3 linked regions of the Oryzias latipes genome follow. The protein of the gene in region 2 interacts with the protein of the main gene of each other region in a pairwise test. Links are inferred from orthologs where the notes say so. Each region holds a gene or a part of one and is shown on either strand. Other genes may lie near its edges.

Region 1 (5,063 bases), on a different chromosome or scaffold from region 2:
TGGGTGTCCGCCTGGACAGCTCATTATCTTTTCAATCCCGTATCAATACTGTTGCTTGCTCTGCCCATTTTCACTTCATTGATCGTCTTCGCCCCACCTCACCGTCCACTCTGGTCACGTAATCCTCTCCTCTTTGGTTACCCTCAAAAAAACCTCTATACGCTCCGACCGGCCCAGAACTCTGCATCATCTGCAGAACCCCATCCTTTGGTCACATCGCCCCACATGCAGTCAGGCCTTTTCCTCACCAGCTGCTCCAGCAGCTGCACTGGCTTCCCAGAACCTCCAGCAACAAATTAAAACTCCTGCTCCATAACCTGACTCCTCCTCCTCTTTGGGACCTTCTCCTTATCAATACTCCTTCTGCTCCTCTTCTTACGTCCAGCTCTCCGCTCCCCCGGCCCGGCTCATTACCATGGGGAGTTGAACCTTCAGCTGCTACGCTACCAAACTCTGGAATTCTCCTGCTCCAGACCACCGTAACATAGACTCTCTCCCAAACTGAAAATCCCAAGTCAAATCTGTTCAAATCAGGTTTGCTCTCCAATTTCCCTTTCTGTCATCTGCTCTTTACTGTATATTTGCTCTGGTACAGTGTCCTTGAGCTTCTTGAAAGGGAATGCAGGTTTTCCAGATGTTCTTGCCCATCTCACAGTTGATTACCTGGATCAGGTGTGTCCAGCCAATTAGAACAAGGCAGAGAAAGGTATGTTGGGAAACCAGCAGGGACGTAGCCCTGGATGTCCTCGCATAAGGGGGAAACTGTTCGCGTTTTTGAAACATCTGGTGGGAAAAAGCCCACTACACTCCCATATCATGATGAGAATTCATCAAAGCTGTGCTTTAAAGTTACACATCTTCCAAATAGTCTAGTGAAAAGCCCAAATGTTTCGTGTCATCTGCACCCCCATGATGTCATCACTTTCTGGTTCTCTGGACCTGGGAATCTGAGTGGTGGACAGACCTGGGATGTCTTGGTTTACTGTCAACACATCCCAGGTCTGGAGGGGATTCTAGAGAGGGTTCAGACTCCTGGTACAGCTAAAAAGCATGGGGGTGGAAACATCATGCTATGTGGCTGTTTTTCAGCCAGGACGACTGATCCGTGTAAAGGAAAGAATGAATGGGGCCATTAATCGTCAGATTTTAAGTGAAAACCTTCTTCCATCAGCATTGACCTTGAAGATAAAACATGACTGGGTCAGCAGGACAACCAGCCCAAACACACGTTGCCCGGGTAACAAAGGAGTGGCAACATGTCCTGGAGGTCCTGGAGTGGCCTAGCCAGTCTCCAGATCTCAACCCCATAGAAAATCTTTGGAGGGAGCTGAAAGTCTGTGTTTCTCTGCGACAGCCCCAAAACATCACTGCTCTAGAGGAGATCTGCATGGAGGAATGGACCAAAATACCAGCAACAGTTTGTGAAAACCTTGAGAAGACTCAAAGAAAATGTTGCCAACAAAGGGTTATAACAAAGTATAGAGTTGAACTTTTTTATTTATCAAATACTTATTTTCCGCCATGATTTACAAATAAATGCTTTAAAAATCAGAAAATATAATTTTCTGATTTTTTTTCTCATTTTGTCTCAGTTGAGGTTTACCTATAATGAAAATTACAGGCCTCTCATCTTTCTAAGTGGGAGATCTTACACAATTGGTGGCTGACTGAATACTTTTTTGCCTCACTGTAAGTTCATTCCAGGACATAAGCCATCAATCACAATTCTTTTCATGGTAAAAATTGATTTTATTCATTAATTTTCTTTATTTAGCCAATCAGTGTTAAATTGGAGTCATTTTAATTTTTTTAAGAAGTTTGCAAACAGGAGATGTCTTTTCCTGTCATGACAAACAGGTTTTGTGCCTCTATTGCTGCAGTAAATTCAAGAAGAAATGTGCAGAGTCAAAAAAAATGTTGATTACAAATTTTTAGAGCATCGTCTGAGAATCAAGCATTTATTTTTGGATTATGAACATTTGGAGAGTACAGTAGTGATAAGATGTATTAAGATGAAAAAGATGATAGTAGGGAGAGAGCTCAACAGCAAAGGTTTTGTAGCGTGTTGTGTAATCCAACTGTATCAAGGACACTTCCTACATTTAGGGTTCGTTCCACTTAATGACAGAGATAGACTGATGTAGAGAGCAGGTATCAACTGAAGTAACACACAGCACATCATTTGGACCCAAGAGTTGAAGTTCCTGCTGAGAAGTGTGAGATTGAATAAATCATTGTTCCCTTCTATTGCAAACCCAGCATTTCCCACAAAATGAAGGAAATGAAGCTGAAATGTTCAGTAGCTAGCACTGATGTGATGGTGCCAAAGACCTGAAACCTGAAAAAAAGAGAAGCAAACTCCCACTTACGGCTGTCATAGCAGATGTTACCAAGAGCTCGGCCAGTCTGCAGCAGCACCTCCTGGTCGGTGGAGTTCAGGAGCTGAACCAGAGGAGGGATGAGGCCTGCATCCACACAGGAACTCCGCATGAACTCTGCAGACAAAACAGGAGCTTAGTTATAGCCCAGCATGCACAGGTACGGCCCCCGCAGGCACAGGTACGGCCCCAGCAGGCACAGGTACGGCCCCAGCAGGCACAGGTACGGCCCCTGCAGGCACAGGTACGGCCCCTGCAGGCACAGGTACGGCCCCAGCAGGCACATGTGCGGCCCCCGCAGGCACAGGTACGGCCCCCGCAGGCACAGGTACAGCGCCACAGGTATGGGTTTAGCCCCTATAAACACAGGTACGGGGCTGCTTCATCTCAAAGACGCCTATTGCTGCATTGTATTTAAGTGTGTTTAAGAATCTAAGAATCTTGTTGTTGTTGCATGTGTTTAATGTTAAAGCCCCGTTAGCATGTAGTTGTGTGACATTTATTCTCTGCAGTTGACCCATCCTCTGGGGGAGCGGCGAGCAGCAGACACAGACGCGCTCGGGAACCTATTGGTTAGCGTTAACCATAACCCTTCTCTGGTTCCATGCGAGCCAGAAAAAAACTTTAGCACCGGCTGCGTGCATTTAGAAAATTACATGCGAATAGACACTTTCTAAAAAGGAAAGTAAGGAACTCCTCCTGGTCTGGGGAGGGGGCTGTCAGGTTTCCTGCTCTAGATGTTTTTCCTGCTTCAAACTCGCTCATTGTCACTCCCCCAACAGTCATTTACCCCACCGTGAATGATTGGTTCGTCAGTTCCGCACACAACACTGAAAAGTGTCATTCAAAAAAAACTGGCGGGATGCACAAACATTGAATTTTAATATTAAGGTGGGGGCAGCAAAGTATTGTCTTGGGGGGTCGCGAGTTTGAGACATCATCCATACAGTGTTACATGGTTTCTCAAACAGAGAAAATGTGTAGATCATTAATATTGTAAAGGCTCTAAAATGACTCATTTTACAAATATTACACATGCGTGCACGAGTCTGTCGGAAATAACACGGAAAAACAAAAAAGGGCCAACGAAGCAACATTAGCTTAAAATTATTATGCTTTTATTATTCTACATACAAAGGGGCTCATGGAAGGGTAAAAAAAACTCATGCAGGGGTAAAAGAACCCCATGGAAGGGTAAGAGACCCTCATGCAGGGTAATTCTGATTTGTAAAACAAACAAAACACATCAAAACGTGCAGATGTGTTTCACATCATTAGAACATCAAACTGCAGATATTCGTTCTTTCACAGACGGAGCCCCAGGCAGGCGGATGGTTCCTCTTTCAGTGTTTTTCAGGTCGGTCCAGCTTTTATGACATTTCCTGATAATTGAGGCCAAACTAGAAGAAACTCTGCAGGTCAAACCATGTTTATAATGAATCGTTCAACTGTCTGAAATGGAAGGAGCCGTCTGTGGCGAAGTGGCTGACTCTTCCGGAAGCAGTGACAGATAAATGCCGGCGGCCCGGGGGCAGGTTGGCCAAGCTGCCTCCCACCCATCATTAACTGCAGCCCTGCCAGCTCAGAACCCGCTCATTATCAGAACCTTTTCCTGCTCCAGGCTGCATTCACATGAAGGCTTTTTCCGGACCTTACGCAGAGACGAAGAGGAAAACGGAGCTGAGCACGCCTGCAGTTAGTTCAGCTCTACCAAGCTCTCCCAAAAGCCCTGAGGAGAAGGCCTGACTGCGTACAACCACGGGGTTCTAACACCCACCTTTGATTCTCATCAAAACATTTAAAAATGAAGCATTTAAACCAGAAAGAGACTCATAGCAGCCCTGAGAGCACAGGAGCTTTGGAAGTGGACCGTACCATTTTTAGCCAGTTCTGCTATTATGTTGGCCACTTTGGGGGTGCATGAAGACTGGGGGTTGAGCAGGTTGGGAAAAAGAGGAAGGATGCCCATCTCCTGGATCTTCATGCTGGCTTCAGTGTCTGCAGGAGAAAAAAGGCCAGTTAAGAAGATCGCACCAGAACCGGAACTCTGCTTTCAGACCAGAACTTTCCAAACCCGCCGGCTCACATTTCATGCAGAATCAATAATTATACTTTTGTTTTATCTGGTGGTTGTTGACGTGGATCTGTCTGAGAATGACCCAAAGAATTACATCAACACACTTTGGGTTTCTTTTTCCCACCTAAACCTTTTTCAGGTCATGCGGTTCTGCACGTGTTCTGCCAATCGTTTGGACCTGTGGCACTGCGGCCATTTTTTCCTTTAGATCACATGTTCTGAAGTGGCTGCTCTCAACGTCAAAAACTGGCCCAAAGATTTCTGGCTGACCCGAAAGAGCGTTCTGTACTCACTGCTGCTGGCGAGCGCTTTCAGTAGACAGTCCAGGCAGATGTCCACGCCGTGGGCGGTGCCGTCGCCGGACGCCAGCTTCAGCTTCTGCAGGGCTTCAGTCAGGTTGTCTGCAAACACGAGTGAGGCTTCACATTATCACCACGTAAACCGGACCGCACTGTCATGGTTTTTCTAATTACCCCAGTCTGCTGCGGGACCCATGAAGTCTGAGCCATCCTACCTATAAGAACGCCGTTTATTCTAGTGGGAAGAATACAATAAAGTATTCAACCTTCGTTTTCCTGTTTCTCTTTCTTTATTCTAGTATCTTCCTC
Region 2 (5,828 bases):
TAAAGGTGGATAACCGGTGGGAGAATATAATGAAGACATTCTACTGTTTTTTACAAAACATCCAATCTGTTTAGAAGGCCTCAAGAAATTCATAGCTTTGTCTGTACAGTATACAATTATCAAGGGTTCTCTGAAGTCCAAACCCCTCTCCTACATCTAGGTTGATTTTTTTTTCATTAAAACAGCTGTAATTACACTTATGGAAGGAAAGAATCTGAAGCACATTGTTTTTACATACTAGTGTGTTTCTCCTGTGAATGCAGCCGCGCTCCCCACTAGGAGTCACATCCCCTCTAACTGCTGTGCTGCAGGACGTCTCAAAGGAGAGAACACTTCTTGCTCTTCTTCTTTGCAGGTGGGGGGCACAGGACGGCCCGAATAGCCTCATCGAAGACCGTTTTAAGGCCACGCTGAGTCAGGGCTGAGCATTCCAGGTACTTGACAGAACCTGAGGAAGAAAAAAAAGACAAGAGGAGCCTTTGAGTCCCCTAAAGAAAGTGGTTCTTTTCTGATCCCTTTTATTTCAACAAATTCATCCAAAACATGCAGGATGAGAAAACACTCCTACCGATCTCTTTGGCCATAGCTAGACCTTGGGGATAAGTGATGGGGGAGAGTTTCTTCTCCTTCAGCTTCTCCGTAGTTTCCTTGTCATCTCTTAGATCCAACTTGGTGCCCACCAGGATAATGGGAGTGTTGGGACAGTGGTGTCTCACCTCTGGGTACCACTACACAAAAACACAAAATCATTTTAACAAAAAGATATTTCCGATTGCATAACTGCAACAATTTAAGGATAAAAAGTTTTTTACCCCCCCTTAATAAGCTTAAAAAGCAGCACTCCTGTTTTGTGAAAGATAAACAAAAACTACGCCACTCGGGAAAGTGCAGTTTCCTGTGCGTTTCTATCTCTCCAAAACATAAGAGCCATGATGCTCGCGGCTATGCTGGTGTCTTTAATTGGGATCCAACTTTACTGTTAATGCTGGATGTTTTAAATATTTAACAAAAAAGTGTAAGAAACACAAAAAGTAAGAAGATTGGGGAATAGTAAAAATGTAGCCTTAGATATGAATAAAATGTATGTGTTTTGGGCCAGTTTTCTACATAAAAAGCCAATCAATAGTACACATCTCTTGAAATTGTTCTTTAAATACACTTTTTTTTTTTTTACAAAAAAATAAAAATAAACTGTATATGAAAAAACACAGGTCTGTATTTTAATTACCAACATTAAAAAAGTCAACGTGTTCACATCTGTATTATTAGTGTTTTTTGCTCAGGCACCACTAACCTTGGCACGGACGTTTTCAAATGAGGCCGGACTCACAAGAGAGAAGCAGATGAGGAACACATCCTGTAAGACAAAGACAAAAAAGGTTCAGAGTCCATGAAATTCATTTCCTGTTGAGCAAAAAATAAATAAAAATAAATAACCTATCGCTAAGGTGGTCTGTTTAACTTTCTTTAAAACCCTCTTCTACATTTGAATACCACAAATGCTCCCAATTAATTATTTATAAAAGTTATCAACTAAATAACACCTTGTCTGACTATTTTTGTCATTGTACCGTCTGTGGGTAAGAAAGTGGGCGGAGTCTGTCGTAGTCTTCTTGTCCAGCTGTATCCCAAAGGCCCAGGTTCACCGGCTTCCCATCCACCATAACATTGGCAGAGTAGTTATCAAACCTGTGAGAATCAAGCATTCATAAAAACTCAGTTATGTCATTCAAGCCTTGCTACATATTTCTGAATTTCTATGATCATTAGATAAATCAAACAGGTTTTTTGGGGGTCAAAAATCAAAGCCTTGTTCATCAGCAGTACATGTTTTCAGCTTGTTCTTGAATCAGAATAAAAGCAGAATGTACATTTATAAATAATCAGAATGAACCAAAGTGTTTTGAGTGACAAATTCCCAAAAAGCCACAGATCCCACAACTAAGAAAATAAACTAGCTGGTTGCACTTCTGGTAATTTTACATAACAAATGCTTCTCTGAACCCAAACAGCTGCCTGTTAAAAAAGAAAGTGACTTCTTATGTACAAGGAAACTAATATTCCCCCATAAGACCAGTTGAAGAAATGAAACAAAGACACAGTTAAGCAACAACTGTCCAGAAGAAGAATGACAGACAGCTTAGCCATTATGAATAAATAAACACTCACACTGTGGGGATGTACTCTCCTGGAAAGGCATTGGTGGTGTAGCTGATGAGTAGACATGTCTTACCCACAGCACTGAATAAGAGAAATGTTATGTTCAGAATTCAGGAAAATAAAACATATACAAGCTGTCATTAAAGTCAGGCTTAAGTTGTTCGATTATTTTACATTTACAAAGCTAAAAACAGTCCAAGCATTTTATTTAATAACATCAAAGTTACTTGAAATAATTACAACCATTAAAAATATAGTTTCAAGTTAAATGTGGACACTACGCAAAGTTTGGTTTTTAACAAACTGAAAGGAGGAAGTCTGAGAGTCACATTATCATCCGTAGGATAAAAGCAGGATCAAAATAATCCAATATCAAAAATCAATAATTGCCAGTTAATCATTTATTATCATCTCGTAGGTAATGTCAGTTTTATTGAAGCACTCCTGATAGAATGAGTGCACTGATTTCAGGAAATAAGGTTTTTTTTTCTCTTCCAGGCTAGTTGATGAGTAAGCAGATATTTTAAACTTTTGAAACTTTAAAGAGAACTGGTGCCTTAGAGTTTCTTCAAGTCGGAACGGAAAACAAAACAAAAGTCGGAGAGGTCGAGGGACGACTCCGCTGCGGTGGGACCAGCCGCACCCTCGACAAGACGTTACAAGTGTGTTTACCTCTAGCATATTACACATCAGTCAGACTTTCAATATTAGCTCATTGACAATCCTGTCTTTAAAATATTGCAAACTAAACCTACTAATTTAACTATTGTGTAACACAAAAACACGCCCGTGTCAATACAACAGAAGAAGAAACAAATTTCAACTCTTCGAAAAAGTACATATAATTTTTGCCCATTTTGTTCAAAAATAACTTCAAAACAAATCTAAGATCAATCTAACTCTATTCACTGATTTTGGCGTAAATAAATAAAAAAATCTGGAACATTGGATCCAGAACGGTAATATCAGGGGAAAAACAAATGCAATACAAAATGTTGTACATTTCGAAAAAAAAAGAAAAGAACTTGAAAGTCCAATATTTAACCGATAACTTGGCTAACTTTACAACTCCAAAAATAAGACGCAACATTTATGTCGAATGACAACTTTTCGACATCACTGGCGGTTTCAGGGTTTGATACCAAAACTGTCGATTAAATGTTAAATATCACAGTGAGTTTAGTTAGGTTCAACTTACCCGTCTCCAACAACGACACACTTTATGGCCTGCATTGCGCCGCAGCTACAGGAATGCTAAGTTAGCCCAGAGCCAGTTAACGTTAGCTCGGATAGCTTGTCCTTTGTCCGCAACTCCTCTCAAGTGAAACTACCCAACAGTCTTTGCTAACAGTCGACCGCGCTAACTCAAAACTTTCTAAACGGAGAACGGCTTGTTAGAAAATAAAGTTGCGGCGACTCAATTCGGACTTTAGGTCAACTAAACTCAGAAATTCCCTGGCAACATTCCCATGCTTTCGTGAGCTGCTCTATGAGTTATGGAGCAAAACAGCGGCCACCACCCCTATAGCTAAAGAGAAAAAAAAATGAAGCCAGCTCTACAAGATAGGGCATCCGGCGCACGCCCACAGACACCTTAACCAAAGAAAAGATAGCCTCAAACTAGTAGTAAAAAAAAGGGTCAGCTACTCTGGTCTTAAATATAAAGCTTAAAGTTATATATAAATAACATTTGAAAACTAAAATATTACATTTTGGTTTAATGAAAACAAAATAAAAGAAATCGTCGAAGACGGAATATTTACGGTGTGACACCTAGGGTGGAACTGACGTCAGTTTTGACGCGTCTACGGTTCATTTACGATTACAATGGAATTTTTGGTGTGTTGTTTAATTTCCCTGAATTATGCCTTTCAGGCTGAAAAAGTTTTTTTGGAGATGGAAGGATAGCTTGCTCTCCCACCCCTACACCACGATAAATTCAATTATACCATACCAGCAAACATGCACTGTATTAAAAAATAAAGTAGTAAAAGAAAAAAAAAGTCAATGTGTGCCTATTCTAATACGACAAAGATATTTAGCTTCAAAAATGTAACACAATCAATGATTAGTTGGTCATTGTATTTCCAAAAAGTCTGTAGTACTTTGCTTCAGTTCAAGATTTTTTGTGTAGTGAACTTCTGGAAAACAAACCAATTTACCTGGTTTTGTAATGGTGCAAAAACAACATATATACATATTTAGTAACTCAAAAAACCTCTTCTATGTTTCTGTTTGTTTAGTTTTATGAGAACCATAGTAGTTGTGTCTAGGACGTGTTTTTTTTTTCCTTAGCCACCACCCAGATCTGGAAGTCCTTTCAGTCTTTACTCGGGGTTTTATTTAATCCTGGTTTTACTGCACTTCCGTGTGTCGCAGCGATGTCTGTCCTCGGTAGAAAACTAACAGGGTGGAGTAGATGCCAGTACAACGGCAGCAAAAGACGGAGCTCGTTGAGGGTGAAAGATAGAAGAATGGAGCTTCATCCAACACTTGCAGCCATTGTAGCGTCCCCTTGCCTGTTGCCTTTGTAAGCCAAGAACACAGCGCTCAGGGTTGGGCTTTTATGGCGAGTCTTTCGTATCTGGTGCTCCGGTTTTCGGGCTCCGCTGGTCGGACTTACGGACTATTCTCCAAAGGCTTGACGAGGACTTTGTTGATATTTTTTGATCTCGCATGGCGGCTGAGAATACGATTCCCCTACTTTTACTTGGTAGCCTCAATGGTGTTTAACGTCAGATTACAGGTAAATGTTTACACACTATTTTCAGACTGACGGTCACGGTGAGCTTGTCACCATGCCAACAACAGCTGTTGGGGGGCCTCGATAGGGAACCTTTGTTCTTATAGTCAGTTAATCCCAGGTTAAATTGATATATAATCTCTACTACGTGCTGTCCCATAAAACTGGGTTCATGAAAATCATCTGTTAATCGGAAAAATAATTTACTGACATTTGATCAATAGTGAAACAAGTTCATATTCACCCATATTTAGTGTTTGTATCTGATCTAAAATAAAAAACAGTAGTCTGTAATGTGTAATCAGTCAGGGGAAACAACAAAATAGATTTTTTCAATCTTAAATATGAAATATTAGCAATAATTGATACTTTTATACCACAGAAATGTAGTATATCAGCTTTTTTCCTTGTCCTTTGAATGTGCAAAATGGAAAATGTGACGTTTTTGTCTTTTTACAGGTCCATATAGAAATCCATTGAGTCTTTAATGCAAACCTTTGGACTTTAAGAAGTGAACGGTAAGACCTCCCATGCTCAAGATGGGCTGACAGTGATTTCTTACAATCAAACTTGGAACAGAAGTTTAAATTTGGAACAATGTCCAAACAGATAGAAGTTTAGGACTAACTATAGAAATGTTATTATTGATAGAGATGTATATATACAAAACACAACCAAACTATAAATTTGAATCCAGCAGGGATCCACTTGGATGTGTTGGGGTTTAATCATGCCAAATGTGGGTCAGATTTTCCCCTGCGTGTATGTTTCTATTAATATATTTGTTTATGTGTAGTTATATGAGTGTATATTGGTTGCATCAAATATTTCTTTTTTTAATCTTCCCCTACTTTTCCTTTTAAAGTATGCGTCCGAAATAAAATACCATCATTATCATCAAGCTGGTGTCTCAATGCAGTAAAGT
Region 3 (4,499 bases), on a different chromosome or scaffold from region 2:
GGCGAAAAATCAAGCTGATCTCATGGTTAAAGTGTGGCCAAGGCTGATCAATCTCTAGATAGAAATCAAAAAGTTGAAAAACAGCCAGATATTGTCCATTTGTAGGAGCAGCATTTCGGTGTTTGGAGCAAATGTAACATAAATCCCCATGCAGCACGTGCAGATGGAGGAGAATCGCATTAGATTAAAGTCCCCATCAATCTTGGGGCCCCTCTTCATTCAGGCAGCAGCTCAGCCTAAAATGCTGCTTTCAGTGAGCTATTTTGTAAAACAAAAAACGGAGATATCAACATTTACTAAGCTGTTTTGAGACTACCTGGTACATTCAGAAAACACATCTGAACATTTTCAACCTAAATAATTTTACGTTTTTGTGCTTCTTTAAAAACAAGAGGGAAACATTTCACAATAGAATTTTTACATGGAAATTTTGTTGAGAAATTTTAAGATGGGTTTTAAAGCAACCAATTAGATTTATTACAGTTGTTTGACTTAATTGTAATTGTTGTAACTGAATATTTATAACGTAACAGTCTTAAGATTTGTATAGATGTGACTCTCCCTAATTTTGTTACAGGGTGGCTGGGGAAATTGGACTTTTGGAAGCAGGTGTGGGGAAGAATGTGCTTGTTCATTAAAGGCACATGATGAGAAGTTTCTCATCTTTAAGTTCTTGTCTAAAACTTAAAGAACAATTTAAGTAACTCTAAAATATTCAAAAAGAACAGTATTTCTTAGAAAAATCTGAGGGCAAAGTTTCCTGAGCACTAAAAGTAGGAAAAAATGATTGATTAAACTTGTTATTTCTAATGATGATAAACAAAAACAAGCTTAGAGTTGATAAAATTGCTGCCAAAATATTAATATGAAATAAAAAACTGCAAAAAGTTAAATATTTTTATAACTGTGCTGTAACTTTCTGTGAGACCAGGTGTGGGAATATCAATCAAATTAGGTTATACATATGTTTGATGTTTTACTATAAGACCCCTCCACTCATGTCTATTTTTCTAAATGCAAAATGAATGTGCAGAAATGGAATAAAACACTTGTAAATATTAGCAAATATAACGGTTCATGATGTTTCTAAGTCCTCTGAAATCAAAAGCCGATTAAATCAAATCAGTGCTTTAAATTAGTTTTAATAATCAAAGATAAAAACTTAAAACTTTTAAATCAGCCAAACTTGGCCAGGATACAAAGAACAATGGCTTATTGGGGGGACATTCAACAAAAAAAGAAGAGGATTTTAAATTTGCTTTCAATTTTGTACATCTAGAAATAAATGTCGTTGTGCACAGATGTTTGAACACAACAGAAAAAAAACTTTAAAGACCTTATTGCTGAAGTAAAAACACATTTAGATAGAAGGCATGCAGATGCAGGAGGACTGGCACCCTCAGGAAATCATTACATTTCAAAATATTTTTGTTTTTAGTCATATACTAATTTAAAAAATCAAATTAGAGGAGGGCTTTCAATAAAACCTAAATTTATCTAAAACGTAATCCTTATTGGCTATAATCTGTGAGTCCACTTTTTTGTTTTCTTCCAAAACCCTTTTTGAAAAGAGCCGGCCCACTATTTTTTTTCTTTATCCGTGTAGTTTGTACTATTTCATTCTTGATAATATGTTAAAAAAATAATAATAATAATGGTAAAAAATCATAACATTTTAATGTGAGTTTCATTTTTTTGTACAGAAAATATTAGGAGAAATTAGCTTCAAGCAATTTTTTGTAAAACTGTTAGGTTTATGAAAGCATTTGTTGGCAAAGATAGAGATTTTATTTTCACTGGAGGTGTGGCTCCTTGCAGAATACTACAGCTTGATATCTGAGCAAATGTTAAAGCTAAGAGACTCAGAACACTAAGAAAATATTCATCAGGAATCCTTTACATCAACATATGCTTTATTTTTCAAGCAGACTTCCAACCGATTATCATAACAGCGAGCCCTCCATCTCCAAGGCAAAGTTCCTCAAACGCTGAACATTTTTAGATGCCATACACTGGACTGCAGTCACTCTATTTGCCTGTGGCTTCTGCTGTCAAATATCATTGACCTCCTCTGAGGTTGGTAGAAGCAGCTGGTTGATGTTTCCAGTCTTTGCCCACTTTTTGGAATAGTCATTTTATTTTGAAGAGATAGTCCCTCTGATGTCCTGATACTCTCTGCTATGTCTTTAGAGAGGACGTTCACTGCCGACGTGTCATTCAGACTCTTGATAGATGAAAGGAGCTTTCCGTCGTCCCCTGATGAGGGGTAGTCCATGATGGGGAAAGGGGGACTGAGCAGAATGAGACTCTGAGGTCTCTGTCTGTTCCTGAAGGAAGGCCTTTGGTGTACATTCCCTTTGGTGGGTCTGGGACAATCTACAAACACTTCCAAATTGGGGTTGTGTCTCCTGGTAATGATGGGCAGTTCTGGAGTAGATGTGGTCTTCCCAGACTCAACCGGTTTGTCAAGATTTGGATGTTTTAGGTGTTTGGGCTCTTTGTTCTCTAGCTCCTCCTTCAGATCTGACATATTTGGAGCAGGAGCGGCATTGCTTGTCTCTACACTCATTTTTGGACATTCTCTTTCTTGTTTCTTTACTGGGTTAAGATGACTTTCTTGTCTGGTTTGAGGAGTTTGGGTGTACTGCACCTTTGGAGGGACGACTGGCACAGCTCTGGCCTGACACGTTTTGATCATGAAGGCTGTGCGCACTGACGACACACTGACTGGCGCAGAGTTTCGCCGAAGAGGCGCCTGACGATCATTTAGAAACAGATCCAGCTCTGAATGGACTTTGTTTCCACCGGACAGTAATCCTCTATGTGTGGCAGAAAACTCTGAGTCTCGATTTTGCTGGTTTGAGATATCTTTAATGCATCGATACCCCAAGTCCAGGTTCAGAGAACAGGGCCTGTGCTTGGACAGATAACTGTCCTCTCTTTTCTCTGTCAAGGCTGCATCACAAGATGATTGTCTGAGAAATTTCTGAGATGATACTGTATTCTTTGGCTTTATTGTGCTGCTCTTTATTGGTTGTTTTGCATTACATCTGCTCAGTTCCATTTGCACTGGTGCTGATGGCCAATGAGTCAGTTTAGTTTCTGTGTCAGTGCTGGAATGCTGGGAGCTTTGGTTGAATTTATCCAGTGAAAGAGATGAAATCTTTACAGTATCCAAGTCTGGAGTATCCGTGCTTGACCTGAAGGGTGATAGCTTGTCAAACAATTCCTCCACATCTGGAGAATGGAGAGGACTTGTGACCCACTGCTTGGTGGAGCAAAGATCTTCCCAGGACTCCACCAAGTCCAGCTCTTCCAGGTTTCTCCCAAATCCTTCTTCGTCATCGAGGTTTGGAAGCTCCAGGAAATTGGTTGTCTCCTGTGAACAAACCGAGATCCTCTGTCCACTTTCTATCATTTGAATCTCATTGATCTTTTCTGCATTGTTTGACTTTTCCGTTTTCTCCCGAGGAACCTCGTGCTTCAGACATTTTCTGGCTGTGCCTGGGAAGCGTGTGACCTGCGGAAAGTCCTTTAAAATCAAAGGTTTTAAAACATGACTCAACCGGGTTTCCTTTGAGGAAGCTTGAATCTGCAAAGAGGAGGTTCGTTGCTCTTTGGGCCCCTTTGATTCATGCGTTGGATCAGCGGGACAAACTTTTTGAGTGTTTCCAGCAGAGATCGCATCACCGTTTTTGTGAACGCACAACAAAAGGTCTGATTCTGAGGGCTGCTTCTTTTTGCCATCAGATCTAGGGGCCTTCCCACAATCACCCAGAGAGGTGTTTGACAGCTGCTCTGTGCACAGCAAGGACAGAGATGGAGAGCTGCGGCTTCGTTTTGACTGGACGTCTCTTGATAACTTGGTGTTTCCAGACGTGGTCACTGTGGAGAAAGCTGGTTTGAAAGCTTCATCCAGCAGGTCAATTTCAGGCTCAGTTATCTTCAGTTCTTGGTGGAGGTCAGACCGCAGATTTTTTATTATCGAGGATCTTTCATCCTGAAAGATTAGAGAAAGTAAATAAATATCAAAGGAAAAAAAATATGATGAAAAAAGCAGTTAAATCCCATATCCTTACACTGGTGTGACTCTGACATGTGGGTAAGGTCACATTATAACTCCAATTATAAACTCTAACTGCTGCCACAATTAGGCTATCTTTAAATCATCCTTATTTGACTTGTTTTATATCAGATTGAAGAAGTACAATTAATTTAATCCCCTTTTTGACAACGCGTTTTGATTTTAACTTTCTATTTGTTATAACTGTGTTTCAGTCAGTGGCCTTGTTTATCACCTCAGTGGCCTTGTGGTAGAATGTCCACTCTAAGACTAGAAGGTTCTGAGTTCAAATCCATGGCCGAGTCATACCAAAGCCAATAAAAATGGGACCCAATGCCTCCCTGCTTGACACTCAGCAGTAAGGGGTTGGGTCAGACGGTTAAACCACCAAATAGTTCCTGACTGCAGCCCATCGCTTCCCCAGGGGATGGGCCAA

The links.
Region 1: the proteins of ras-related C3 botulinum toxin substrate 1 (region 2) and rap1gds1 interact in binary tests that used the Homo sapiens proteins (3 or more experiments, as listed by UniProt). The link is inferred for Oryzias latipes from reciprocal best matches to the Homo sapiens genes RAC1 and RAP1GDS1.
Region 3: the proteins of ras-related C3 botulinum toxin substrate 1 (region 2) and arhgap31 interact in a two-hybrid assay, tested with the Homo sapiens proteins (2 studies listed by BioGRID and IntAct, with this or other methods). The link is inferred for Oryzias latipes from reciprocal best matches to the Homo sapiens genes RAC1 and ARHGAP31.

The regions. Positions count from the first base shown.
Region 1 is NC_019876.2:29,299,123-29,304,185, forward strand, and holds part of rap1gds1 (rap1 GTPase-GDP dissociation stimulator 1), read right to left. Parts: intron 4,857-5,063; coding exon 4,749-4,856; intron 4,377-4,748; coding exon 4,254-4,376; intron 2,496-4,253; coding exon 2,370-2,495; intron 1-2,369. UniProt on the Homo sapiens protein: Acts as a GEF (guanine nucleotide exchange factor) for the Rho family of small GTP-binding proteins (G proteins) that stimulates the dissociation of GDP to enable subsequent binding of GTP.
Region 2 is NC_019866.2:11,731,697-11,737,524, forward strand, and holds the start of ras-related C3 botulinum toxin substrate 1, read right to left. Parts: upstream 3,942-5,828; 5' UTR 3,394-3,941; coding exon 3,359-3,393; intron 2,242-3,358; coding exon 2,170-2,241; intron 1,690-2,169; coding exon 1,572-1,689; intron 1,358-1,571; coding exon 1,295-1,357; intron 729-1,294; coding exon 569-728; intron 449-568; coding exon 318-448; 3' UTR 1-317. UniProt on the Homo sapiens protein: Plasma membrane-associated small GTPase which cycles between active GTP-bound and inactive GDP-bound states.
Region 3 is NC_019872.2:14,131,141-14,135,639, forward strand, and holds the end of arhgap31 (rho GTPase-activating protein 31), read right to left. Parts: intron 4,001-4,499; coding exon 2,024-4,000; 3' UTR 1,127-2,023; downstream 1-1,126. UniProt on the Homo sapiens protein: Functions as a GTPase-activating protein (GAP) for RAC1 and CDC42. Required for cell spreading, polarized lamellipodia formation and cell migration.